Caenorhabditis elegans: one gene and its partners. The protein of the gene in region 3 purifies or fractionates together with the protein of the main gene of each other region. This does not show direct contact. Each region holds a gene or a part of one and is shown on either strand. Other genes may lie near its edges.

What was found. Proteins that work in one complex are often made in the same cells at the same time.
Region 1: the proteins of hpo-30 (region 3) and gex-2 purify together in Caenorhabditis elegans (co-purification; one study listed by BioGRID). This does not show direct contact.
Region 2: the proteins of hpo-30 (region 3) and F16H6.8 fractionate together in Caenorhabditis elegans (co-fractionation; one large-scale study listed by BioGRID). This does not show direct contact.

The regions. Positions count from the first base shown.
Region 1 is NC_003282.8:571,184-575,803, forward strand, and holds the start of gex-2 (Cytoplasmic FMR1-interacting protein homolog), read left to right. Parts: upstream 1-1,585; 5' UTR 1,586-1,592; coding exon 1,593-1,637; intron 1,638-1,684; coding exon 1,685-1,755; intron 1,756-1,804; coding exon 1,805-1,895; intron 1,896-1,950; coding exon 1,951-2,130; intron 2,131-4,620. UniProt on the Caenorhabditis elegans protein: Required for initial steps of body morphogenesis. May play a role in egg laying and yolk protein clatherin-mediated endocytosis by oocytes during oogenesis.
Region 2 is NC_003283.11:18,213,142-18,217,855, reverse strand, and holds F16H6.8 (Mediator of RNA polymerase II transcription subunit 1), read left to right. Parts: upstream 1-1,580; coding exon 1,581-1,800; intron 1,801-2,995; coding exon 2,996-3,352; intron 3,353-3,400; coding exon 3,401-3,760; intron 3,761-3,808; coding exon 3,809-4,179; downstream 4,180-4,714. Other genes in the region: F16H6.9 (BPI2 domain-containing protein), read right to left, coding at 1-211, 260-616, 754-772.
Region 3 is NC_003283.11:12,308,222-12,311,979, forward strand, and holds hpo-30 (Clc-like protein), read right to left. Parts: upstream 2,136-3,758; 5' UTR 2,122-2,135; coding exon 2,020-2,121; intron 1,968-2,019; coding exon 1,856-1,967; intron 1,812-1,855; coding exon 1,704-1,811; intron 1,289-1,703; coding exon 1,023-1,288; intron 967-1,022; coding exon 809-966; intron 722-808; coding exon 628-721; 3' UTR 504-627; downstream 1-503. Other genes in the region: srg-45 (Serpentine receptor class gamma), read left to right, coding at 4-312, 360-437.

The sequences.
Region 1 (4,620 bases), on a different chromosome or scaffold from region 3:
AATTTAAGACCACTTTAACGTATTTTCCTAGTGATTATTTTACTGGGGACCGTGTTAAATATTTTTAGTCTAATTTTTACCCTAACACTTACTATGAGCAGTTCAAATTGTAGCCAGATGTCTATTTAACAAATCTGCATAGTTTCAGAAAACAGCTAGTTTTCAACTGGCAGATATTACCTAGAACACGTTCCATATTTTAAGTCATTATTTGTAAAAACAGTTCAGTGAATAACGTCCAGTTGGTAGGCTGTGTTGCAAATTCTGTCAACTTCATAATTTTGAGAAAATTAATTTTAAAAAACTAAAAAAAACAAAGCTAAAACGTTTTAAAAATGTCACGTTTCACGCTAAGGAACATGTTTTCTCGAATTTACGTTAGAAAATCCACATTTAGAAAAACACGTAAAAATTTTTTTTCATTTCACAGTCACTCAGTCAAGCGGACAACAAGGATCTGGAGCCGGAAAACAGACGATAAGTAGGCAGGTAGGTAAGTAGGTATGCTAGGGCTATTATACAACAAAATGGAAATAGTATTAGATGGAAACAATGTTTGCGTTTGAACACTAAATCTATTGGAAAAAGAAAATAATAATGGATAATTTTTGAAGTGACAGAGCATTGGTAAGACGTGCACGAAAACAAAATTGATAATGACCAGATTGGATTTACCAACTTATTAGATAGGGGAAAAGAATCCCTAGTAAAAATTCACTAGGAAAGACGTTAAAGTAGTCTTGGATTTTGTTGCGACGTCGATCGTAAAAAATTTTGATCTACACTTATTGATCTGGCCGCGTAAAGTCGTATTTGTGCCATTCTCGCTTGAAAGGCTGTGAAAGGCAAGAATTCAACCTTTTTCAACCTTTATTGGCATTTTGTATTTTCCCCATTTTGCCCCTCTACGATCATAAAATAACGTTTTTGTCTAGACCAATGGTATAGTAGTAGCATATTCACACGACGTTAAACGGAATAGAGTTTGTGGGTGTTTCACTTAAATAGATTGAAAAAATGGTCCAAAACATAATTAATGTGACTTCTCAAAAACTTCCAAAAATGTTCTAGAGCTTAGAAATTTTTGAGAAGCCTCATTATGAAATTCGGTGGTTTTAATTCAGTTTTAGTCTTTTGAGCAAAATATCTACAAATTCTGTTCTTTTTTTAAAGTAGTCTTGGACTTTGAAACGAGACCTCTGTTAAAATAGATTTCAAAATCGATTTTTGGTGAGCCCATTCAGCATAAATGCGCCCTCATTTAAAGTCGTAGTAGTAAAATAAATACGTGTATAAAAGTATAAAAGCATAAATAAATCTTAAAATTATTCGGAATTTCAGCTAAATTCCCAATCATTAGTTTGAGTTTAGCTTTACTTTTACTTCTAGACACATAACTAGCATGATTTTTTCTTTCCTTGTTTTAGTGACATCGCGGGCACTCCTCGAAACTAGGTCCGCAGAGTGAGCGTCGGTGTTTGCGGACACAGTCACCCTCTCTCCCACCTCTACACACTCACACCTTTGATTCATTCAAACAGTGCCCCCTCCCCCCGTGAGCAATCGTTTTAATGATATTTTGCAGCTGAAAAATGAACGCAAACGTAACTGTCGACGATGCCATAAGCAATGTGAATGTGAGTTTTTAAAATAAAAAAAAGCAAACATACCAGATGTTTTGCAGCTTCTCGACACCCTCGCCATACCCGATGATTTACCCGATATTGAGGCGAGAGCTCTTCCCTTGCTCTATAGGTTTGTAGCGAAACTGAAAGAAGAAAACAAATTCAAAAATTATTTTCAGATCAAACTTCGACACAAACTTCGAAGATCGTAGTGCATTTGTGACGGGAATTGCCAAGTACAGTGAGGAAGCCACCAGGCATGCACAATTTGTGAGTTAATCGATAAAGTGTGGACAGGAAATTAGTCAACAGAAAATTATTACAGAATGACATGCTTTCTGAAGGATTGCAACATGCTGCAAATATGTACACTTGGAGATGTTGTTCGAGAGCAGTTCCAATGGCAAAGTCGAATGATCAGCCGAATCGAACGGAAATCAATGAGATGGTTGTGGAAGTTTTGAAGCCAGAAGTCAGCAAGCTCGGCAGTTTTATGCGATTTACGGTAGGTTAAATTAATTCCAAATTTGGAGTTTAAAATGACAAAAAATAATCGAAAATATTGAAACTTCAGACATTTTCGCATATGAAATTTGAAATTTATTTACCAAGCATTTTTACACAAAAAAAAAAGTTGGAAAATATGATTATTTCATACATTTCACCTGGACAGTTCGGAACTTCATTTATAGGAAATTTGAAATTCCAAGCATTTTTACACGAAAAATTAAATAATTTTACCAATTTTCAACTGAAAACTTCCATATAGGCAGACTTTTTTATACCGAAAATTGGTAAATACTTTTTTACCATAGTAGATAGTTTTTATTTTTACTATAACAACCAATTCCTGAAAAAGTTTTTAAAAAATCCTGGCTAAAAAACTTTTAAAAAGTATATTTTAATAACGATCTTCAATATATATATCAAAGTTTTGGCAAAATGCCAAAATAATATTTTGAAAGTGTCTCACATTTTTGAGTAGAAACATAATTAGAATATAGAATATTTGACCGTTTTCCAAAAACATTATCTTTAATTAGAAAGTATTTTCGAACTATTTTGACCTTCCGAAGTGTTATATCCAGAACAGGGCTGGGACTTTTTCGTTTTCGCGTTTTCGTTTTTTCGTTATTTTCGGGGTTTTGACGAAAATGTTCGAAAAACGAAAATAAAACGACTTTATTTAATTCTGGTATTTTTTCCACTTTCTTTCGAACTTTCGCCGAAATTTTGCTCTCCGGTGTGGATAGTATTGAAAAATCAATTATTTTCTTCTAAGACTCAGTACTGAAGATTAACTTTAAAAACAAAAAAGGCAACAGTTTTCAGTTTTGGATAACAATTAAAATACTCTTTTGCGTAACAATAGATTCATTCATTTTAAGACAGGACGTTTCTTTGTTTTGAGCTCCAATGTTGGGCTATCTTATTGAATGCACCGAATTTGGCTAAAAATTCATTCAAGCAACAAGTAAAACATATTTCCACAGTATCTAATAAATTTTTGATGATTTTTGAAAAATTAAAGCTTGTTGTTTCTTCAATTCAAAAGTTCAAAACACAATTTCAGATGAAAAATAGAGTTACAGTAGAATCCTTATGTTCGAAAAGGGCTTCAAGTTCTATGGCCTATAAGCACTAATAGAGAATATACGGTAGTTTGTGAAAAGTTTTCGAATAAAAATTTTGAAAAATACGAGCTTTTGAGAAAATTTAAAGAAATGTCGCATATTTCGACCCCTACGAATTTAAACAAAATTAAAACATAAAAAATGTCGAAAAAGAAATTTTTTTGGTCGACTTCCAAAACAGGGGTGTGCGGCAAATCTCAAAATTTGCCGAGCTCGGCAAATTCGGCAAATTCGGCAAATTTGCCGAGCTCGGCAAACGGCAAATTCGGCAAATTTGCCGAGCTCGGCAAACGGCAAATTCGGCAAATTGGCCGAGCTCGGCAAACGGCAAATTCGGCAAATTTGGCAAATTTGCCGAGCTCGGCAAACGGCAAATTCGGCAAATTTGCCGAGCTCGGCAAACGGCAAATTCGGCAAATTCGGCAAATTTGCCGAGCTCGGCAAACGGCAAATTCGGCAAATTCGGCAAATTTGCTGCACACCCCTGTTCCAAAATTATGAGTGGCAAAAACTGAGTAATTGCCACTTTTTGACAGTAAATAAAAATTGTTCAAAAAATTTTTGAAAAGTTTTATCATGATATTTGGTCATTATGGGACTAAAGGAGTGGGTTTTAACAATTTACCCACTGGCACTACTCCACCTTTAATGAGCAAAGTACGTCAATGAGAGAGAGGTAAATGAGTACTTGCCACCAAAAAAGCTTTCGAGGCAACATATGGCCTAAAAACTGTAAGTCCAGTTGTAGATTTGAAACAGTGCTATTTTCGTGTTCGTTTTTGTTTTCGTGTTTTAAAACGAACATTTTCGTTTTCGGTTTCGAAAATGAGATTTCGAAAAAGTCCCAGCCCTGATCCAGAAGCCTCTTTTTACAACCACATTTGCCAATTTGAGATGCAATCGCCTAGTTACAGTGGTGACCGAAATAAAATATGCGTTTTATAACTCACAAACTAGGAACTTTGAAAAGAAAATTTCAAATAACAAACTGGTGCCTAAAATGTCTTCTACATGCTGAAAATGTTTCATGATCCAAAAATATTGAAGGACAAAAGATACAGCGGCCAACACGTCGCAGGTTCATTTTTGGCCTTTTCACTTGAAACGCCTATAACTCAAGAATGATGAGTTTTCATGAAGAAGCTTTGGTGGTGAAATAGTTTGCAACTCATTTTCTATTGAATTTATTTTTTTTAAACCAGCAACATAGAGCTGAAAATTAACGCATACGTTTTTCAACCCACTGCTTACTCGGCTTTTTGAAAATCTGGTCATATTGCACAAAACAATATTTGAGCATATATTTTTAATAACGAATGTTGTAGTTACATTTTGTTTAGATTTGAACTGAAAAACTGATT
Region 2 (4,714 bases), 5.9 Mb from region 3:
TTGTTAGGACAATGCAATTGTTGTGCTTGAACCAGAAGTATAGTATTCTCTTTCACACCTACAGCGAATCTGATATCAATTGGAACAGAACGGAGTCCGGTCACAGTGATGTCGACCAAATAATATATCTCATTAATTTCTACAATACGTTTGACATCAAAATCAAAAGTTCTGTCGGCTGGTCGGTTGACAAGGCGTTGGACGATTTCGTCTAAAGAATAAAAAACCACTCATCAGTCTCATAACAAATCTGAATTACCTTTTGAGAATTTTCTTTCGCACGCTACAAAGATATATTTGTCATCTATGAATGCGCTAATTGTGGTGGCATCTCTTGATCGAATTGCTATCAATAGTGAATCCAGGAAAATGTTTATTACACTCTTTCTCTGATCAACCTGACTGACGGCGTTTTGGCAGTTAAATTGTTTCGCATTAGTCAAGAGAGCACTATTTCCCAAAATCTCTACATCAAAGGCAATATCAATTGGTACAGATCGGAGCCCGGTTACAGTGATGAGGACGGTAAAATGTCCCGCATTTTGTTTATAAGCTGTAACAATGAACTCGACATTTCTGTCTGCTGGGAGGTTGACAATACGTTCGATGATTTCGTCTGAAATATAGGAGAATGTTCAAAAGTTATATAGATACAAGGTGGATCATGATTTTGTGAGATCGTCATTCGCTAGGAATTCTCGATAGTTTACTCGTGCAATCCGAATTAAGATCGTATTCCTTGTAAAAACTAACTTTGGATAATGGCAAACATGTTTGGAACACGACTTATGTTAAAATTTACGAGACAACATTTTGTGCCTAAAACTAGGGCTCCCGCAAAGGCGCCTCCGCCGGCCTCAGCTGTCGCCGCGCCGGCCTCACGGCGTCATCCACGCCGCATGTACAATGAGGTGCGTAACCGCGAACGTCAGAACTGGTCAATTTTCTTTTAATTCAATCAGAAACTCAGAAAAATCCAAATTACGAGCAGTATGTAGTCTACTGGTAAACTAGCCTTTTCTTTCGAAATTTATACGCTCGGGCTGGAAAGAGCCTCTCATAATGGGCAGAAGCCCTGGCAAGAGGAACTTTTGACAACTTGTAAAGTAAGGGCGCTATAAGGTCATAAGCTGAATGTACCCTAATGTATAGTGCGACGCGGAACCCCGAACGTGTCGGCCGCTTCAAATAACTACCTCTCGCACATCATTTCACGCACACTGCGGCGCGCGGCTTCAGCGCGCGGCTTCGGCGCAAGGCCGGCGGGCGTGAAGCCGGCGTGAGGCCCGCATTTCGCGCCTCACTCAGCTGGGAGCCCTACCTAAAACTGAGTTTTATAACAACACATGGTGTCATTCTGTACCATTACAGGTTGATCTAAAAAAAATGAGAGAATGTTTTAAATCATGCAAAATTTGTTAAGAATTCTGACTCTGAATTTCCGCAAATCCTGGAAAATCTAAGTAGATCAAATCGAAAAGGGACACTCTGGCATTAAATGTAACATAAAGCATGTAGAAACAAAGGTGTATTACTTCGTCGACATCACTGTCACCGGACTCCGCTCTGTTCCAGTTGATATGAGATTTGTTGTAGATGTGACAGGGAATAGTACACTCTTGGCTTTTGCACAACAATTGAACTGTCAAAACAACCCCAATCTGGTAGATAAGACCAAAAATCTGTTTGATTTCCTGGACTCGCTGTTGGCAGCAATGCGATCAAGATCAGCATCTGCCATTGGCGCCCTGATTTCTGATTCATATGTATTCAAAGCATGCGAGAGAAAGTTTTCAAAGGGTAAGTGAAATAAAAGAGCACTGTAAAAGTCAGAATAATGCGGACTCGTTGAATGATTTGAATTGAATTGATAGTTCAATTAAGTTCCTTCCATTTACTTTAACATAAACCGTATCCCGCTGTTAAACTACTATAGATCCTTGTCAAATCAACTTTCTTACGACTTTTGGCGACTTGCATTTTTTGAGCCTTCAGGCTTACAACCCTGGGTTTTTACACAGATTTCTATACACTTAGCTTAGGTGAAATTATTTAGTGCAACTGGGGACACAGTTAGAGTAACCCTTGGACAAATACATGCTTTATGTTACATTTAATGCCAGAGTGTCCCTTTTCGATTTGATCTACTTAGATTTTCCAGGATTTGCGGAAATTCAGAGTCAGAATTCTTAACAAATTTTGCATGATTTAAAACATTCTCTCATTTTTTTTAGATCAACCTGTAATGGTACAGAATGACACCATGTGTTGTTATAAAACTCAGTTTTAGGTAGGGCTCCCAGCTGAGTGAGGCGCGAAATGCGGGCCTCACGCAGGCTTCACGCCCGCCGGCCTTGCGCCGAAGCCGCGCGCTGAAGCCGCGCGCCGCAGTGTGCGTGAAATGATGTGCGAGAGGTAGTTATTTGAAGCGGCCGACACGTTCGGGGTTCCGCGTCGCACTATACATTAGGGTACATTCAGCTTATGACCTTATAGCGCCCTTACTTTACAAGTTGTCAAAAGTTCCTCTTGCCAGGGCTTCTGCCCATTATGAGAGGCTCTTTCCAGCCCGAGCGTATAAATTTCGAAAGAAAAGGCTAGTTTACCAGTAGACTACATACTGCTCGTAATTTGGATTTTTCTGAGTTTCTGATTGAATTAAAAGAAAATTGACCAGTTCTGACGTTCGCGGTTACGCACCTCATTGTACATGCGGCGTGGATGACGCCGTGAGGCCGGCGCGGCGACAGCTGAGGCCGGCGGAGGCGCCTTTGCGGGAGCCCTAGTTTTAGGCACAAAATGTTGTCTCGTAAATTTTAACATAAGTCGTGTTCCAAACATGTTTGCCATTATCCAAAGTTAGTTTTTACAAGGAATACGATCTTAATTCGGATTGCACGAGTAAACTATCGAGAATTCCTAGCGAATGACGATCTCACAAAATCATGATCCACCTTGTATCTATATAACTTTTGAACATTCTCCTATATTTCAGACGAAATCATCGAACGTATTGTCAACCTCCCAGCAGACAGAAATGTCGAGTTCATTGTTACAGCTTATAAACAAAATGCGGGACATTTTACCGTCCTCATCACTGTAACCGGGCTCCGATCTGTACCAATTGATATTGCCTTTGATGTAGAGATTTTGGGAAATAGTGCTCTCTTGACTAATGCGAAACAATTTAACTGCCAAAACGCCGTCAGTCAGGTTGATCAGAGAAAGAGTGTAATAAACATTTTCCTGGATTCACTATTGATAGCAATTCGATCAAGAGATGCCACCACAATTAGCGCATTCATAGATGACAAATATATCTTTGTAGCGTGCGAAAGAAAATTCTCAAAAGGTAATTCAGATTTGTTATGAGACTGATGAGTGGTTTTTTATTCTTTAGACGAAATCGTCCAACGCCTTGTCAACCGACCAGCCGACAGAACTTTTGATTTTGATGTCAAACGTATTGTAGAAATTAATGAGATATATTATTTGGTCGACATCACTGTGACCGGACTCCGATCTGTACAAATTGATATTGCATTTGATGTAAAGGTCAAAGGGAACAGTGCTCTCTTGACTCATGCAAAACAATTCAACTGCCAAAACGCAGTCAGTCAGGTCACTCAGACAAAAAGTGTGATTAATGATTTCCTGGATCAACTATTGGAAGCAATTCATTCAAGATCTCCATCCGCAATTGGCGATCTGATATATGACAAGTATATCTTTGAAGCGTGCGATAGAACATTCTCAAAGGGTAATTCAGATTGGTTATGGAACTAATGAATAGTTTCTTATTTTTCAGAAGAAATAATTCAACGTCTTGTCAACCGACCAGCCGACAGGGAAGTGGAGTTCGATGTCATTGAAGTCATAGAATTACCTGAGTATTATCTGGTCGACATCACTGTGACCGGGCTGCGTTCTGTACCAATTGATATTCGATTCGGTGTAGCGGTGGCCGGGAATGGTGGACTTCTGATTCATGCGAAGCAGTTTCACTGTCAAAAAAGCGTCGGTCAAGTTGATCAGAAAAGACAAGTATTGCTAGTTTTCCTGGATTCGCTATTGGAAGCAGTTCGATCCAGATCTGCAACCGCAATGGGTGCCCTGATGAGTGATTCATATTACTACAATGCTTGTGAAAGAATGTTCACAAAAGGTAGGTCAAGTTAGTCAAGTATGACCTGTCGTTCGGCAAATCGGCAATTTGCCGTCTTATTCGTTTGTGTGAAACACATCGAAAAAAGTGAAAAGCTGCCTGGCCTAGCTCCCTTCCGAATCCTGAGCAAGAGAAAATTTAATGCTTACATTGTTAAGCTTGGAGCACGAACGGATCAAAATCAAACGACGAGCACTAGGAGTTGATGGAGCAGACAGCGAGACTTCAGGTGTGGAACTTGAATCGAGTACTGATTTAGCGATTGATTGATGGAGACATGGCTGAGGGGGGAGGTCGATGTCACGTGAGAATTTTTAAATCTTAAAGAGAATAAACAAAAATTAATGATTTTGTCATGAAAGGTCAAACACGTTTCTGTTGTTGGCAGCAATATGAGAAAAAATAATCAAGCTGCAGAGTTGGTCGTTCTGGTCCTGGCGATGATGTGCTGTCGTTTCGGTTGGTCTTCCTGGCAATTTTTGCATTGAGATTATTGATCGGGCAAAATTTGGCATTTTAGCTAAAATCAGTACAATTTTTCGAAATTTT
Region 3 (3,758 bases):
CAGCCATTCATAGAAATTTACAATGTATTAATTCCATTTATGTGCATTTGTATGGCAATTTCAATTCTTTCCAATACTACAAGTGTCATATTTTTACGAAATCTGAATATTCAAAGAAAAAAAGCGGAAACAAACTTTTTACTCATAATGTCTATAACATGTTTAGTCCAACTTATTGGAACAATAATTTCTATTGCTTTATTGAAGTGCAACTATTGTTCTATGTTATCATATCTTACAATGGTTCTACCATTTGTTAGTGACGGTTTATCTTTGGTGCAACCTTGGCTGTTGATTTGTTTTAGTAAAACTGTGAGGGTTGAAATATAGTCTCAAGAATGTTATATCCTGATTTTCAGATGAGAAAAGAAATTTTGATATTGTTTGGTATAAAACCTAAAGCAACGATTCTCCAAGTACGATCTTTGACAAACTAAGTTATGAAAATGCGAGTGTATGGAAAGACACAAATTATTTTTAAAATTCCAATTTGATTTTGAAACTTCTTGTTTTACATTTATTAATTGAACATTATTTACATTCATTATTAAGATCAAATTGTTAAAAACCCGTATTTCAAAATAAAGAGATCAAATCACAGAATTTTTAAATTGAGAGCATATCAGTTCACATACTGCTGTCATCGTCAATCACTACAAATGGCCGATGTGATTGATGATTTACTCTTCCAGTTTTTAGAATTAGCCCATTGTTTTTCCATCTGAAAACCTTTATTTTACTCTTGAAAGTTGTTTTATTAGACGAAAGTTACATGTTTAGAAAAATCCGCAAATCAGATTAAACTTACTTTGTCTGCTCTCTGTACTCTTTTCGACTTGTGCAACAAACGTCGTGTGCATGTTTTGAAGTGATGAGGAAGTAGGCACAAAAAATTGAAAAGATGAATGCAGCAATTAATAGCATGGAACCAAACATATGCATGTACGTTGCAATGCCAAGACGCTTCTGGAATTTGAAAAAAAAAATAAAAAGATGACATCAATTTTTTTTCGAATTTTTACATAAATGGGTCCAATGGATCCTCGTTCTCTTCTCGATAAAACTTCTTGGTGTGGCTCAGATTGTTCTTTTGTAAAAATTGGTTTCTGATTAAAAGCAAATATGTAGATAATATCTGCTAATAAAGAACATGCTCCGGTCATAAAGACACCAACTACATAAAGTAGTGCATTTGGTGGAAAACATGGAGAACAGGAGCCAATCAGGATGGAGATTAGTCCGAAAACAAAAGTGAAAACTGCGAAGAAAATTACACCTTTGTGATGAGCTGAAATTAATTTTTTTTTGGTTTCATGAAGAATATAAAATCAACTTGTATCTTCAGTAATTTTGTGTTTGGACAGTAAAATCTAATTTATTGTTACCGCATATTCTAGATCAGAAAATACTAAATTACAAAAAATAGCATTACAGTCCTAGAATTTAAGACAGAAAATCAATTGAATTAATAGCATGGAACCAAACATGTGTATGTACGTTGCAATGCCAATACGCTTCTGTATCCAGAAAGAGAAAATTGATCAACAAATTATTGAACTACTACGCTCACACTCTAATTATTTTAAAAAATAACTTGAACCTGCATTTGGTAAATCAGTTTTATATAGTTTCTAGTTTATCTTTCTAACAAAGAAAAAAGTAAGTTTCGGCACATGAAAAGCATTAAAATATTGTTAACTTACGTAGAAACCGATGTAACAAAAGCTCTCTGGCCTCTTCATCTCCTTTTTCAAGAGCAACTCTTAATGATGCTTGAACCGAAGAATCCATCTTACTATCACATCGATCACCTTAAACTTGTTTTATTTAGAAAACAAAAGCAGAAAAAAGGTACCTCGAAGTTCTGCTTGATCTTCATGTAACGGAATTAAAGTTTCATGATGTACAATACAATCCCACCAAAGACCGTGATGATGTGATAAATGAGAACGAGGAAAATCAACTACCTACAAAATTGACATTTAAAAAAAACCAGAATTTTATTGACTAGAAACTTACTTCCCAAAGAGGACTAAACAACGAGAACGCAGTTAATATTAGCCCGGAAACGATTAAGAATATTGAAGTGACTAATAGAAATTTGTACATAATTAATGGCATTCCGTGGTTACTCTGAAAAATCTTAAACTAGAAGAATGTGGAAACGTGTTAAAAGTGCTAGTTAAAAGGAGAAGTCGTGAGTCTCGAATTTCAAGGAAGATCAAGTGGGCACTTGAATTGGAGGAATGAACGGAAGAATACGTAGAAATGGAGTGAGAGAAGGGTATTGGATTATCTTTTTGCTTTTGCAGGGTGAGAAAATATCGGAATACTTTTAAGGATGTTTAATGAGAATTGTGAAAACTCTGAAGTTTGAGGAGAAAACTTTCTTCTGCTATAAAAGAAAACAAAAGCAGCAAAAACATAATAAACCAGGTGTGTAGACACGTAAATGAATTCAACTATTGCTTCGTATCTGTTTAGTTATATTGCGCAAGTGTCCAGAAATCTCAAATGCCTTCAAAACAAGCTATTGTCCTTGACTGAAGTCATGGAAGTTATTCAGAACAAAATAGAATTTTAAACGAACTTTTTTCTTTTCATTGTCTCGTTTCTATTCTATCTCGTTTCTTAATTGGAACTCAAAGAAAGTAAAAAAAACAAATGAATGAGAATTAGAAAATGCCCAAAATTACTGACAGTCAAGATGTAAGTAGAACAAATGATGAAAAAAAAAACTAGACGAGACATTTTGGTATGGAAGAGAGCAACTTGGAAATTGCACGTCTTGAGTTCCCTTAGGGCCTGGAACAGCTGAGAATGTGTGCAAAAGATTTATTAGGTGTTGAAAGAAAGATGTTGACCATAGGAGTACATTACAAGCGTAGCCTACTTTTCTACATGTTCTGAGTTTCATTTTTATAGATTTCTATGAACCAGCCAAAGTGAGAAAAACAGAACCAATGCAATCATCAGAAAAATAAAACTCAAATTTTTATGAATTAACGCAATGAAATTACATAACAAACCCAAATAAGTCGCTTTTCGTGAAAAATCAACAAATTTGAAAATTACGAAACCCAACAGAGCCACTCAAGATTGTATCTCGATTTTTGATAGACAAGAAGATGTCCAGTTTCGAAATTTTGGCAACATTTCCGGAAGAGGGAAGGAAAACGAACACTTGACATATGGTCGAATTATTCAAAGCACACTCAAAACACATATATAAAATACAATTTTGGATTAGCTATGAGTTTATGGCATTTACAAAAAAACCAAAGCACTTGAAATTCCCACGGAGAAGAAATTGAGAAATAAATGTTCAAAGAGCGGATTTAAGTGAATGATGTTGGAAACGAAAATATAACTACAATTAAAGTGTCCACCTAGTTCAAATATAATTTGGAATATTTGAAAGGTGTAGAGGATGTTGGAACCTTTTTCCTCGAAAACTCAGAAAACGTCTCATCGAATTAAAGTTTGTTTTCATCTCTTCCCGCCGCTTCTTTTTCAATTTTATGCAAAGTCCAAATGTCAGTTTCTATTGACATATCCTTGTATAGAGGTCATCAGACTAATTTTCTCAAATTGAAGAAGATCAATAAACACTGACTTTAAGAAAAACGAATATAGCCTGACGCAAAAACAAGTGGAATTACTTTTTAGTTGGGCGTATTTTTATTTCTCATGCAGATAAGGCGATGAGGGGGGCTTGTATATTCATTTCTAAGAAGAAAAATGTAATTATCTTTTTA